2 linked regions of the Arabidopsis thaliana genome follow. The protein of the gene in region 1 interacts with the protein of each later gene in a pairwise test. Each region holds a gene or a part of one and is shown in the gene's direction. Other genes may lie near its edges.

Region 1 (4,011 bases):
TATATGTTTTACACATAATTGATATATATAACTTAAAACATAAGCTTATTTGGGCAAAGTTAAATTAAATAAAAATTCGAAATAACTTGTAATCTAACACATATTAAATAATTGAATAAATATTTGAAAAAAATATTCTCAATGAAAGATAGGCCTCAGTGAAACGGGCCAATGTTTTTTGTGTGGGCTTATATAGTCCACCCAAAACTTTACTTGTTTAAGAGGCAAACAAAGTGGACACTTGTAAGTGGTAAGGTTGTGGTCACGTTTGTGTGGCCCTTAATGCAGTAAAAGCAGAGTATGAGATGATGGTGGTAGGGAAGAAGAGCAACGAGGGCGAGAGATATCTTCTTATCCATGGCGGCTATTGCTAGTCTGCAAGCAGTTAATCTCACATTTAGGCGACGTAGCACTCGATGTGGAATTGCTGAGCCGAGCGGAGAGCCAGCTCCGATGGGGCTGAAGACTAGATACGAGGATGGGCTGGTGGAGAGAGTGTTCATGGGTCTCTTCGCGAGGAAGATGGACAAGTTCGGGTCGAAGAAGAAGAAGGACACGAAGGAGAAGGGTTTTTGGGAGTACGATTACGAGAGCTTCGTGGAGGTGTCAAAGAGAGTGATGCAGGGACGGTCCAGAGTGCAGCAGCAAGAGGCCGTGAGGGAGGTTCTTCTCTCTATGCTGCCTCCTGGTGCTCCTGAACAGTTTAGGAAATTGTTCCCACCAACGAAATGGGCTGCAGAGTTCAATGCCGCTCTTACAGTGCCTTTCTTTCACTGGTTGGTTGGTCCATCTCAGGTCATAGAAGTGGAAGTGAATGGTGTGAAACAGAGAAGTGGAGTTCGTATCAAGAAATGCAGGTAACAAGTGAATTCCATCAAAATGACTATTACTAGTTGTCTTGTTCAAAATGTGACAGACTTGCTCCTACTGTTGATTGAAGGTATCTGGAGAACAGTGGGTGTGTAGGAATGTGTGTGAATATGTGCAAGATTCCAACCCAAGATTTCTTCACCAATGAGTTTGGCCTCCCACTCACCATGAACCCAAGTATGTAACATATCTCCTTTTGACCATCCTTATACATTGGTGTTTGTTTTCATTAGCCATCTCTCCATTTTGGTTTGTAGATTATGAAGACATGAGCTGCGAGATGATATACGGGCAAGCACCTCCGGCCTTTGAGGAGGATGTAGCCACCAAGCAACCTTGTCTAGCAGATATATGTAAGTCTTACAATGCTCAGATTGCATACATGCATGCAAGATGTATCTAACATGATGGTGATGATGTTGCCTGCAGGTTCTATGTCGAATCCAAGCTCCCCAATCTGCCCTAAACTAGAGGCATGAGTGGAGTGGATCAGCAGCCACTTCTTTGACGGGATGTGCAATTTCCAAGCGATATACATACTTTTTTTCTTTTCCAAACACATACATTACATATAAAAGACAGTTGTGAAGACGAGTTAGTGTTCTTTGTTACTATTCTGGTTGGGTTGTGTAAAGTATACGATAATACACTTGAGCTTACTCATCTTCTTTATGTTTTAAGTTTGAACTCGCCATGTTGGTTATAACTTGGATCTCAAGTGTTACTTGCAGTTTGTATTGTAATATAAAACCAAAAACTGAGATTAGCTTAGCTTTAAAGTAACCCTCTCTGCTTATATGGATATCAGATACTTACTGTAGTTTTGCTTTAACGACTTACTTTCATGGAATGTTTAGTTTGCGGTTTGGTGCTTTGATACACACTGAAAGACTTAACTTTCATTTGACTTGCACACACAAAAAAAGAAAAAAGAATTCTGTTCCTTGTTTTGTTTCCTGCAACTCCAACTGACTAGGGAGTGAACAGAACAGAGTAAATGTTTAGATAAAGAAAATCTGTTCATAGTTTAATTTATAGAGAGACATATAGCTAGGAGAAGTGGAACAGATGAGGCATTAATGTTTGAATGGGCCAATTAATTGACACCCCCAAGTGTACGAACACACAAAATGAGAGGTGGTTCATTGAAAGCACAGAGAAGTTGTCGGCTTTTCAAAGATACACTGCCCAACAAACAATCGTCATGAAACTACAACAAAGGTCAGTTTCATATATCTTCTAATCGCATTTGTTAGTTTACCTAAGAGTTAGACGCCATCTGTTTGTTTCTGCTACTTTTCCTTACTCTTTAACGACGAGGTCCTGAGGAAGAATGATTGAAGCTGGTAATCATGTGATGACTCACTCTTTCAGCTTTACAACACACTTCCATCTTCTAAAGTGATATTTAATAACCCTTACTTTTTTTCTTTCTTTTTCCCTTTTTTTTCCCTTTATCTCAAATATAGAAGGCCAACCAAAAAGATGAAGGATATGAAGATGCAGAGCAGCCCTGAAACGATGATGACCAGAATCCCCACTCCAGATCCTCACAGTACCGGTGTACGAGAAGATGCAATGGACTCAGTCTGCAAACCCTGGAAGCTTTATGAAAATCCATACTACTGCTCTTCTCAGTCTCAACAGCATCAACACCAACGCAAGGCATTTATTTGGGATCTGAATTTCATAAAGGTGTTCATGGAATCTGAACTAGGAAAAGCTCAAGACGAGATCAAGGAATTGAAGGCAGAACTGGACTATGAGAGAAAAGCTCGAAGACGGGCAGAGCTGATGATCAAGAAGCTGGCTAAAGATGTGGAGGAGGAGAGAATGGCTAGAGAAGCGGAGGAGATGCAAAACAAGCGGCTCTTCAAAGAGTTATCGTCTGAGAAGTCAGAGATGGTTCGGATGAAACGAGATCTTGAAGAAGAGAGACAGATGCACAGGTTGGCAGAGGTTTTGAGAGAAGAGAGAGTTCAGATGAAGCTGATGGATGCAAGGCTTTTCTTGGAGGAGAAGCTATCTGAATTAGAGGAAGCTAATAGACAAGGAGAGAGGGAGAGGAATAGGATGATGAAACCTAAGATATTGGAGAGAGCGTGTAGCTCACCGGCTAGGAGGAGGTGCGAGAATCCGCAAATAAAGAGAGGAATCAATCCGTTCCCAAGAGTGATGAGAGCAATAAGATCAAAGAGTGAGAAATGGGGTTCAAAGCTGGAGTGCCAAAAGGTTCAGCTCAAAATTCTGCTCAGACAAAAGACCACCCCAAGATGTACTCCTCTTCTCTCCTCTCCTCCTCCTTGATACTGTATGCTTGTCTTTTGTTCGCCTCGCTCAATCTCAATAATTCACATCTAAGACTGAAGATGTACTAATAAGATTCTCTTTGTCTGTCCGTTAGATAATATTTTATTCACATGGATGTGTTATACATAGCATATATATTGACGTCTATTAAAGATGGATTGGAAGAAAATGATTATCCCATTATCCAAATTTGTTATGTTGAGTCGTCTCGGACAAGATCAGACAAATATACATAGTTTTCTGCACCTAAAGCTTTCTTCTATCGCTGGTATAGTTTTGAAGGATCTTATAAGGATCTATAAAGAATTAACAAAAGTTTTTGAAAGATTGAATGAATGTTTTGAAACGATTTACAAGAGATTTTAATGATCTATAAGATTTTAAAATGATTTACAAATGGTTTTCAACGGATTTATAAGAGGTTTAAAAGATTTATAAAAAGTTTTACAAGAGTTTAAAAAAAGATTTTCAAGAATTTTTAAAAAATAAGGGGTTATTTAAAGGATTTACAAAGATTTTATAAGAGGTTTAAAAAGATTTACAAGAGGTTTTAATAGAATTGTATAAGAGTTTATAAATGATTTACAAGAATTTTAACAAGATTTTTTTTTAAGTAATTGCAGAAAATTTTAGTGTAAAATTTTCACGTTTGCGGATAATTTTTGACGAAGAAATTTCACCTTCACATTATTTGGTCTCACTAAAAAAAGGTGATATAGTCATTTTGTATATAAAAATGTGTATTGTGAAAATAGACTAGAAGAGAGGAAGCTCATTTTATTGTCCAACTATATGCAATTAACACAATTATTCGCCAACTATCGTGTGCAC
Region 2 (7,540 bases), on another chromosome or scaffold:
TATTTTTTTTGAACGGAAAAAAGCCAGAACTGTAGTCATATACATATATCTGAATATAGCGTTTAAAAAATAATTGTGTTATCATTGTATGACACTCAAAATTTTCATTTTTTGCCAATTTTCTTTTTAGGGTACATTGATAACATAAGATCAATAAAAATATATTATGGCATCAGTTAGGTAACATACAGTATATAAACAAAAGCCACATGTTGAAAATACGTAAATAAGTATGCAACAACACTATATCGTGATAAGAACTAATATTCAACAACACTACTTTATTATCGTAGCAAAGTATGATAATCATAAACATTTATTTTCACACAGTAACTATTTTTTTAAAGATAACATCATAAAAGTCAACATTATATTAAATATAGTTATAACATAATGTATATTCTTTTTTATTTATTGTACTGTAAATTTATTCAACAACCAAAAAACTTCCTTTTATGAATATGAAAAGAATTTGAGAAGCTTTGAAATGGTAATCTTTATATTCTACAATAAATCTTTATATTCTACTATAAAAAAATATTTTCACTGATGATCAGATGATGCATCAAACTTTTTTTTTTTTTTTTCCTTTTGCAGAACTCAATATACTGATATTTCAAATCTGAAAAATACGACCAATTTTTTTTTATTTTTTTTAAACGAAAAAGTGAGAATTGTAGAATTGTAGTGATATAGTGAAGATCGGATTTTAAAATAATTATATCATTATACGATATTTAGACAAATCACTTTTTTTTTTGCAAATGTTCTTTTAAGTTTACATCTAAATTTGAAGATATAAACTCGATAAAAATATATTATGGCATTAATAAAGTAACATATTTAAACATAACGCACATGTTGAAAACACGAATGTAAGTATTCACCAACACAATATAATATCCTCCAAAATGCGATTCAACATTTTTCTGCCAAATACGATTTCACATTTGTTTTAATAAAACATGATTTCATATTTTTCCACGAAAACATGATTCCGTGGTTTTTCCACTAAAAATATGATATTAATCATAACTATTTATGTCACTAAATATTATTCAATGGTAATAATTATTGATTAATTATTCTATTTAATTAATTAATTATTTTATTTTCAGGAATCAACTCATTTAACCATTAAACCATCAAATAATTGGATTAATGAATTGACTCAATCCGTTCAACAAATGAATTGAATCAACTCATAAACCATTTCAGCCTAAACTTGGATTATGGATTGGTTTGAATGAGTTTATCCATTTTGACATCTCTAACAATACATATCTACATATGAACTAATATTCAACAACACTATTTATTCTCATAGTAATGATAATCTTAAATGTTCATTTCCATACCAAACTATTAAGAAAAGAAAAACAGTATAAAATTCAACATTATTCCTATAATAAAGATAGTTATATTTTTTTTTTTGCAAAATAAGAAATATAGTTATTTTGTTTTGTGAAATTAATAAATATAGTTATCACATAATGTCTGTCCTTTTTTCTTTATTCCTGATAATGTAAAATTTGTTCAACAAAAAAAATACACTTCCTTACGAAATAGAGATGTAACGTCTATAAGTCTGCAAAGAATTACCTTAATGTATAGTTCTTTTCATTAAGGTAAGCATTCTATTCTACCATATACAAATATTCCCATTGATAATTCACTAATCTTTTCTCTATTAGTATTCATCATGATGTTTATTTTATTTTTTTGACTAAATTTGTTAGTATTTTTTTGAGAAAAAAAGAAAGAAAAAACTAAGTGTGACGAGACACGAAAACACTAGACAAGGAGGGGCTTTGACGAGACCCGAACAAACAAATGTGAATTTAAAAAAACCCATTAAAATAATTAAAAATAATGGAAATTTAAAAATAGAAAATAATAGTGTCTCTCGCTTTCCTTCATGCGTTCTCTCGCAGTCGCAGGCGACTATCAAGTTTCAGAACTCGAGATTCATCATTCTCTGTTCCACTTCCGGCGATGTATTATAATCCCTAGACCTTAGTTCCGGCGAACTCTCGAAGAACAAACAAGTATATATTATTATTTTCTTCTTAGTGTTTCGTGCTGTTTCCACGATTCCTTCGTTTTATCTTGGATCTACAGTTTTACATTCTTCTGTTTTTCTTCACTTTCATTGTTTCCACTGCGTTGTTCTGATTAGGTATTGCACAGGTTTTGAAATGTCAGTGAAAACGCGAAGCTGAGAGAGGAGAAGGAAGAAATCGAAGGAAGCTGATTCAAATTTAGGAAGAAGAAAAAATGTCAGGTTCGAGAGTTTCGGATCTGAGTAAATTGCATCTGAAGAAGGAGCTGACTCAAATCAGAAAAGCTGGCCGTGTTTTACGCGATCCAGGTACTACTTCCTCCTGGAAATCTCCTCTCGATTCGTCAAGATCCGTCGCGCTTTTGGAGACTCCGGCGAGCAGAAACGGTGGCAGTTCGAGTCAGTTTCCGATTCGAGGAGAGAGTAGTACTAATCGTCGTGGGAAAGAGAAGAAGGTGTTTTTGTATAACTGGAAGACTCAGAAATCTTCTAGTGAGAAAAGTGGATTAGCTAAGAATGGTAAGGAAGAAGAGGAAGAAGAAGAAGATGCTTCTTCGTGGACGCAAGCTAGTGTTAATGATGATGATGATGTGAGTGATGCGAGGAATGGTGGTGATTCGTATCGTAGAGAAATACAATCAGCTTCGATGGGTTTTAGGTGTAGAGATACGAATCTAGCGTCACAAGGTGTGTCAAAGATGAGGAAGAGTAATGTTGGTAGTTGTAAGAAGAAGAGTAAGAAAAAAATTAGCTCTTCTCGTTTGGATTGTTTGTCAAAGTATCAACCTAGAGATGACATTGTTGCTAGAAATTGTAATGCTGGATCAGATGACACAGAGGAGGAATTGAGTAATTCAGAGGATTTGAGGAAGGTCACTGGTGCGTCTCCTTTGCTTTTGAAGCTTAAGCAGAAGAACTGGTCACGTTCTTCGTCAAGATTGTTGAGAGCTAATAATAGAAAAGAGGATTCTTCATGTACTTATAATAGTACACCGGCTTTATCCACTAGTTCGTACAATATGTATGCTGTTCGTAATCCCAGCACTGTTGGATCTTGGGATGGTACCACGACTTCGGTGAATGATGGTGATGATGAGTTGGATGATAACTTGGATTTACCAGGGAGGCAAGGATGTGGTATTCCGTGTTATTGGACGAAGAAGGCGATGAAACATAGAGGCGGATGCAGAAGTTGTTGCTCTCCATCGTTTTCGGATACTTTGAGAAGAACCGGAAGTAGCATTTTGTGTGGGAGTCAATCTGTGTATCGTAGACATAATAGACATTCTTCTGGAGGGTATAGTAAACAAAAAATTGCTTGTAGAAGTGCACAAGGTGTTTTACCTTTACTCAGTTACGGTGGTGATGGTAGAGGAGGGTCTTCTTTAGGAACCGGGCTTAGTGATGATGAGCTTTCTACCAATTATGGAGAGCTTGATTTAGAGGCTCAGAGTAGATTAGACGGGAGGAGGTGGTCTACTAGTTATAGGAGTCAAGATGGTTTGGAGGCTGTAGCGTTAGATGGAGAAGAAGAAGAAGGAAGTACACCGGAAACAATCCGAAGCTTCAGCCAAAAGTACAGACCAATGTTTTTTGAGGAATTGATTGGACAAAGTATAGTGGTTCAATCGTTAATGAACGCTGTTAAAAGGAGTAGGATCGCTCCTGTTTATCTTTTCCAGGGTCCTAGAGGAACTGGTAAAACATCAACCGCAAGGATTTTTTCAGCCGCCCTGAATTGTGTGGCCACTGAAGAAATGAAGCCTTGTGGGTACTGTAAAGAGTGCAATGATTTCATGTCTGGGAAAAGTAAGGATTTTTGGGAACTTGATGGAGCTAATAAGAAGGGAGCTGATAAGGTTAGGTACCTTTTAAAAAACCTACCGACGATACTTCCACGAAATTCCTCAATGTACAAGGTTTTTGTGATAGACGAGTGTCATTTGCTGCCATCGAAGACGTGGCTGTCTTTTCTTAAGTTTCTTGAAAACCCTCTGCAGAAAGTTGTCTTCATATTTATAACTACTGACCTTGAAAATGTTCCCCGGACCATTCAGTCAAGGTGCCAGAAGTTTCTCTTTGACAAACTCAAAGATTCTGACATAGTAGTGAGACTAAAGAAAATTGCTTCAGACGAAAATCTTGATGTAGACTTGCATGCGTTGGACCTGATTGCTATGAACGCGGATGGCTCACTTCGAGATGCTGAAACTATGTTGGAGCAGCTGAGTTTGCTGGGAAAACGCATCACCACAGCTTTAGTAAACGAGCTAGTAAGTTTTTCTAGTTCTTTCTGTAACTGTGCACTGAAAAAAAGTAAAATTTATTAAAGTTAAAAATGTGGCATTATGTGTTTGTTCAGGTTGGTGTTGTTTCAGATGAAAAATTGTTGGAACTCTTGGAATTAGCATTGTCTTCTGACACAGCAGAGACTGTTAAGCGAGCTAGAGAGTTGTTGGACCTTGGAGCTGACCCAATAGTCTTGATGTCTCAACTCGCCAGTCTTATTATGGATATCATTGCTGGTACATACAAGGTCGTAGATGAAAAATACAGCAACGCCTTCTTTGACGGAAGAAACTGTGAGTTCCCAGCAAAGTATTTACATATTGGTCATATGTGCTAAAAAAGTAGTTTAGTGAGGCGTTATGATCTGGTAGCTTGTTGAGATCATTGCCCGTTTCATATTTTCTAACACCCTTAAGCTAATATATCCTGTAAGAGCAATTTTACTCCCTACGATGAGTCATAAACCACTTGGTTTGATTTTCGAAAATTCTTGCTTCGTTTTTGTAGTGACTGAAGCAGATATGGAGGGATTAAAGCATGCTTTGAAACTTCTTTCTGAGGCTGAGAAGCAGCTGAGAGTTTCTAATGACCGTTCAACATGGTTCACAGCGACTTTGCTTCAGCTTGGGTCAATGCCTTCTCCTGGCACCACACATACAGGCAGTAGTAGAAGGCAAAGCTCTAGAGCAACTGACGATGACCCAGCAAGCGTTTCAAGGGAAGTGATGGCTTACAAACAGAGAATAGGAGGACTTCACTTTAGTAAGTCGGCATCTCCAGCTTCGGTTATAAAAAGGAACGGGAATCATTCCCATGAAGCGAAACCATTCTCCAGGGTTATCGATAATAACTGCTATAAATCCTCCTCATCTAGCCAAATGATAGAGAGCGAAGGTTCCATTGCCTCACATGAAAATAGCATCGCAAGCACCATGATGCTTAATCAAAGAAGTTCAGAGAAACTTAACGATATATGGAGAAAATGTATTGAAAGATGTCACTCAAAGACACTGAGGCAGCTGCTCTATACTCATGGGAAACTTATATCTATCAGTGAAGTTGAGGGTAAAAAGCCTAAAAGTTTCTTCTTTTCTCACTTTTTTGGTTTTCTCCTTTCCAAAGATTCTAATAAAATGAACATGACATGATTTGCAGGTATTCTCGTTGCTTATATCGCGTTTGGAGAAAACGATATCAAACTGAGAGCTGAAAGGTTTCTAAGCAGTATCACAAACTCGATTGAAATGGTACTAAGGCGAAGCGTAGAGGTCAGGATAATTCTCTTGCCTGAAACCGAGTTACTCGTTGTCCCTCACCAAACCCGGAAACCAGAAATGACCAACAAAAGTGGGCATCTAAATAACATCGCTGGTTTAAATGCCGAAACAGATGTTGAAGTTGGTAGCAGCGTGGAAAGCAGATCAAAACTCCCGATGCAAAGGATAGAATCAATCATCAGAGAACAAAGATTAGAAACCGCTTGGTTACAAACCGCTGATAAAGACACACCTGGATCGATAATACGGGTAAAACCCGAAAGGAATCAGATTCTACCTCAAGAAGACACTTATCGCCAAACTAACGTAGCTTCTGCTATTTCTTCTTCTGGCCTAACCACTCACCAATGGGTAGATGAGCTAAACAATGAAGTTAAGCTTTTGAAAATCGGCGACAATGGTGAGCTTCAGGAGAATCTAACCGGTACAAGAGGACAGCATTGTCCTCTTTCCCCAAGCTTACTTCATGATACTAACTTCGGAAACAACAAAGACAATCTGTAAGTTCCTCACTCTGATCCTTTTCGATACAAAACCGAAAAGAAAAAACAAATAAGATCTTTATAATCAACGTATTGTCGTAATGATGTCATGTTTGGCTTTGGTTGTGTAGAGGAGGATACGAATCAGGATCAGGAAGAGTTGGTTGTAATATATTATTTTGTTGGAACACAAAAAAGACTCAGAGACGAAGCAAGGTTTGTGCTAATAACTCGAATCTGTTCCTCCTTTTCGATGTTTTCTTTGTCTCATTTGTTTTTCATTTGCGGATTTGATTAGTCGAAACAGGTCAAGGGAACTCCTGTTCGTTCGCGGAGAAATCGGAAGAGTCGGTTCTCTCTGTTTAATGGATGTGCTAAGCCAAGGAAAGCAGAAGGTAACATTAGAAGATGAAACTAAGTTCTTTAGTCATGAAAAACAAAATTGTTCCCTCAAGCTCTAATTTATCATCTGTTCTTCCACTTCCACATAGTTTTCCCTTAATTATGTTTGATAATGATATGTCAAAGGACAGTTTTAATATATTCACTGTAAAGTTCCTATCCATTTTTGTTATCTATCTTATAAAAACTTCAAAAATGTTACTGTGAAATAATCGACGAATTGGTTAACCTTGCACATTAGTTTATATTTTTCAATTTTTTTGTGTTGCATTTGTTGGAAAAATAAATAATATTTATTATTTGTGATTTACCTTTTTCAGTTATTGTAATTTTTAGTTTCATATTTACTTGGTTTATGACACATATTGAAACTATTGAAACAAATCAAAATTTCTATTGTTAAACTCTTTTCAAGTCTTAAAAAATATTAAAATTTTAAAATGAACAAAAAGGTTATGTAAGTTTTGTTTCACCTAACTTAAGCGGGGAGATGAAAAGTTGAAAAGTTAGTAAATGTAATAGACCAAAGGGTTTGTCGCGGAGAATAAATTATAAAAGAAAACAAACTATAATTTTGATATTTATAAATATATTTTTTGGAACAAATATTTATATTTATAATATTTTATGTAATTTATTTTCTATATATATCATCCAAAAATTTAGTGGAGTATATTTTAAAAAAAAAAAAATCAAAACTATTTAATACTTGGAATTTCAACAAATATTATATTACTCTATGTTATATAACCTTAAATCGGTTTGGACCTTCCAGTTTTACGTAAATCAAGTTAATAATGTAAACTAGGAAAATTAAAATTTAGATAAAGAATAGCTGAGATCAAACTGTCTCAGATTTTGTTTTTGTTTTTGATTTATTTTAGTAATTAACGAATCATCACGATATAGTAGTGATAAAATTATAAATTTATAATATTAAGCTGTTGAAAATAGAATATTATTATATATAATATTCAACATAAGCAACCTATTCAACACTTCGGTATTTTAGTTGATGAACAAGATAA

Evidence for each region.
Region 2: the proteins of BLT (region 1) and STI interact in a two-hybrid assay, tested with the Arabidopsis thaliana proteins (one study listed by BioGRID).

What each region holds. Positions count from the first base shown.
Region 1 is NC_003070.9:24,035,714-24,039,724, forward strand, and holds BLT (branchless trichome), read left to right. Parts: upstream 1-1,761; 5' UTR 1,762-1,957; coding exon 1,958-2,091; exon of another isoform or gene 2,092-2,339; coding exon 2,340-3,177; 3' UTR 3,178-3,464; downstream 3,465-4,011. Other genes in the region: AT1G64680 (beta-carotene isomerase D27), read left to right, coding at 358-857, 941-1,047, 1,128-1,223, 1,300-1,349. UniProt on the Arabidopsis thaliana protein: Acts as a key regulator of trichome branching. Could participate with STI in the same pathway. Also plays a role in integrating endoreplication levels with cell shape.
Region 2 is NC_003071.7:658,816-666,355, forward strand, and holds STI (AAA-type ATPase family protein), read left to right. Parts: upstream 1-1,839; 5' UTR 1,840-2,048; intron 2,049-2,179; exon of another isoform or gene 2,180-2,190; 5' UTR 2,191-2,277; coding exon 2,278-4,335; intron 4,336-4,424; coding exon 4,425-4,644; intron 4,645-4,858; coding exon 4,859-5,416; intron 5,417-5,506; coding exon 5,507-6,128; intron 6,129-6,241; coding exon 6,242-6,326; intron 6,327-6,408; coding exon 6,409-6,522; 3' UTR 6,523-6,820; downstream 6,821-7,540. UniProt on the Arabidopsis thaliana protein: Acts as a key regulator of trichome branching through an endoreduplication-independent pathway.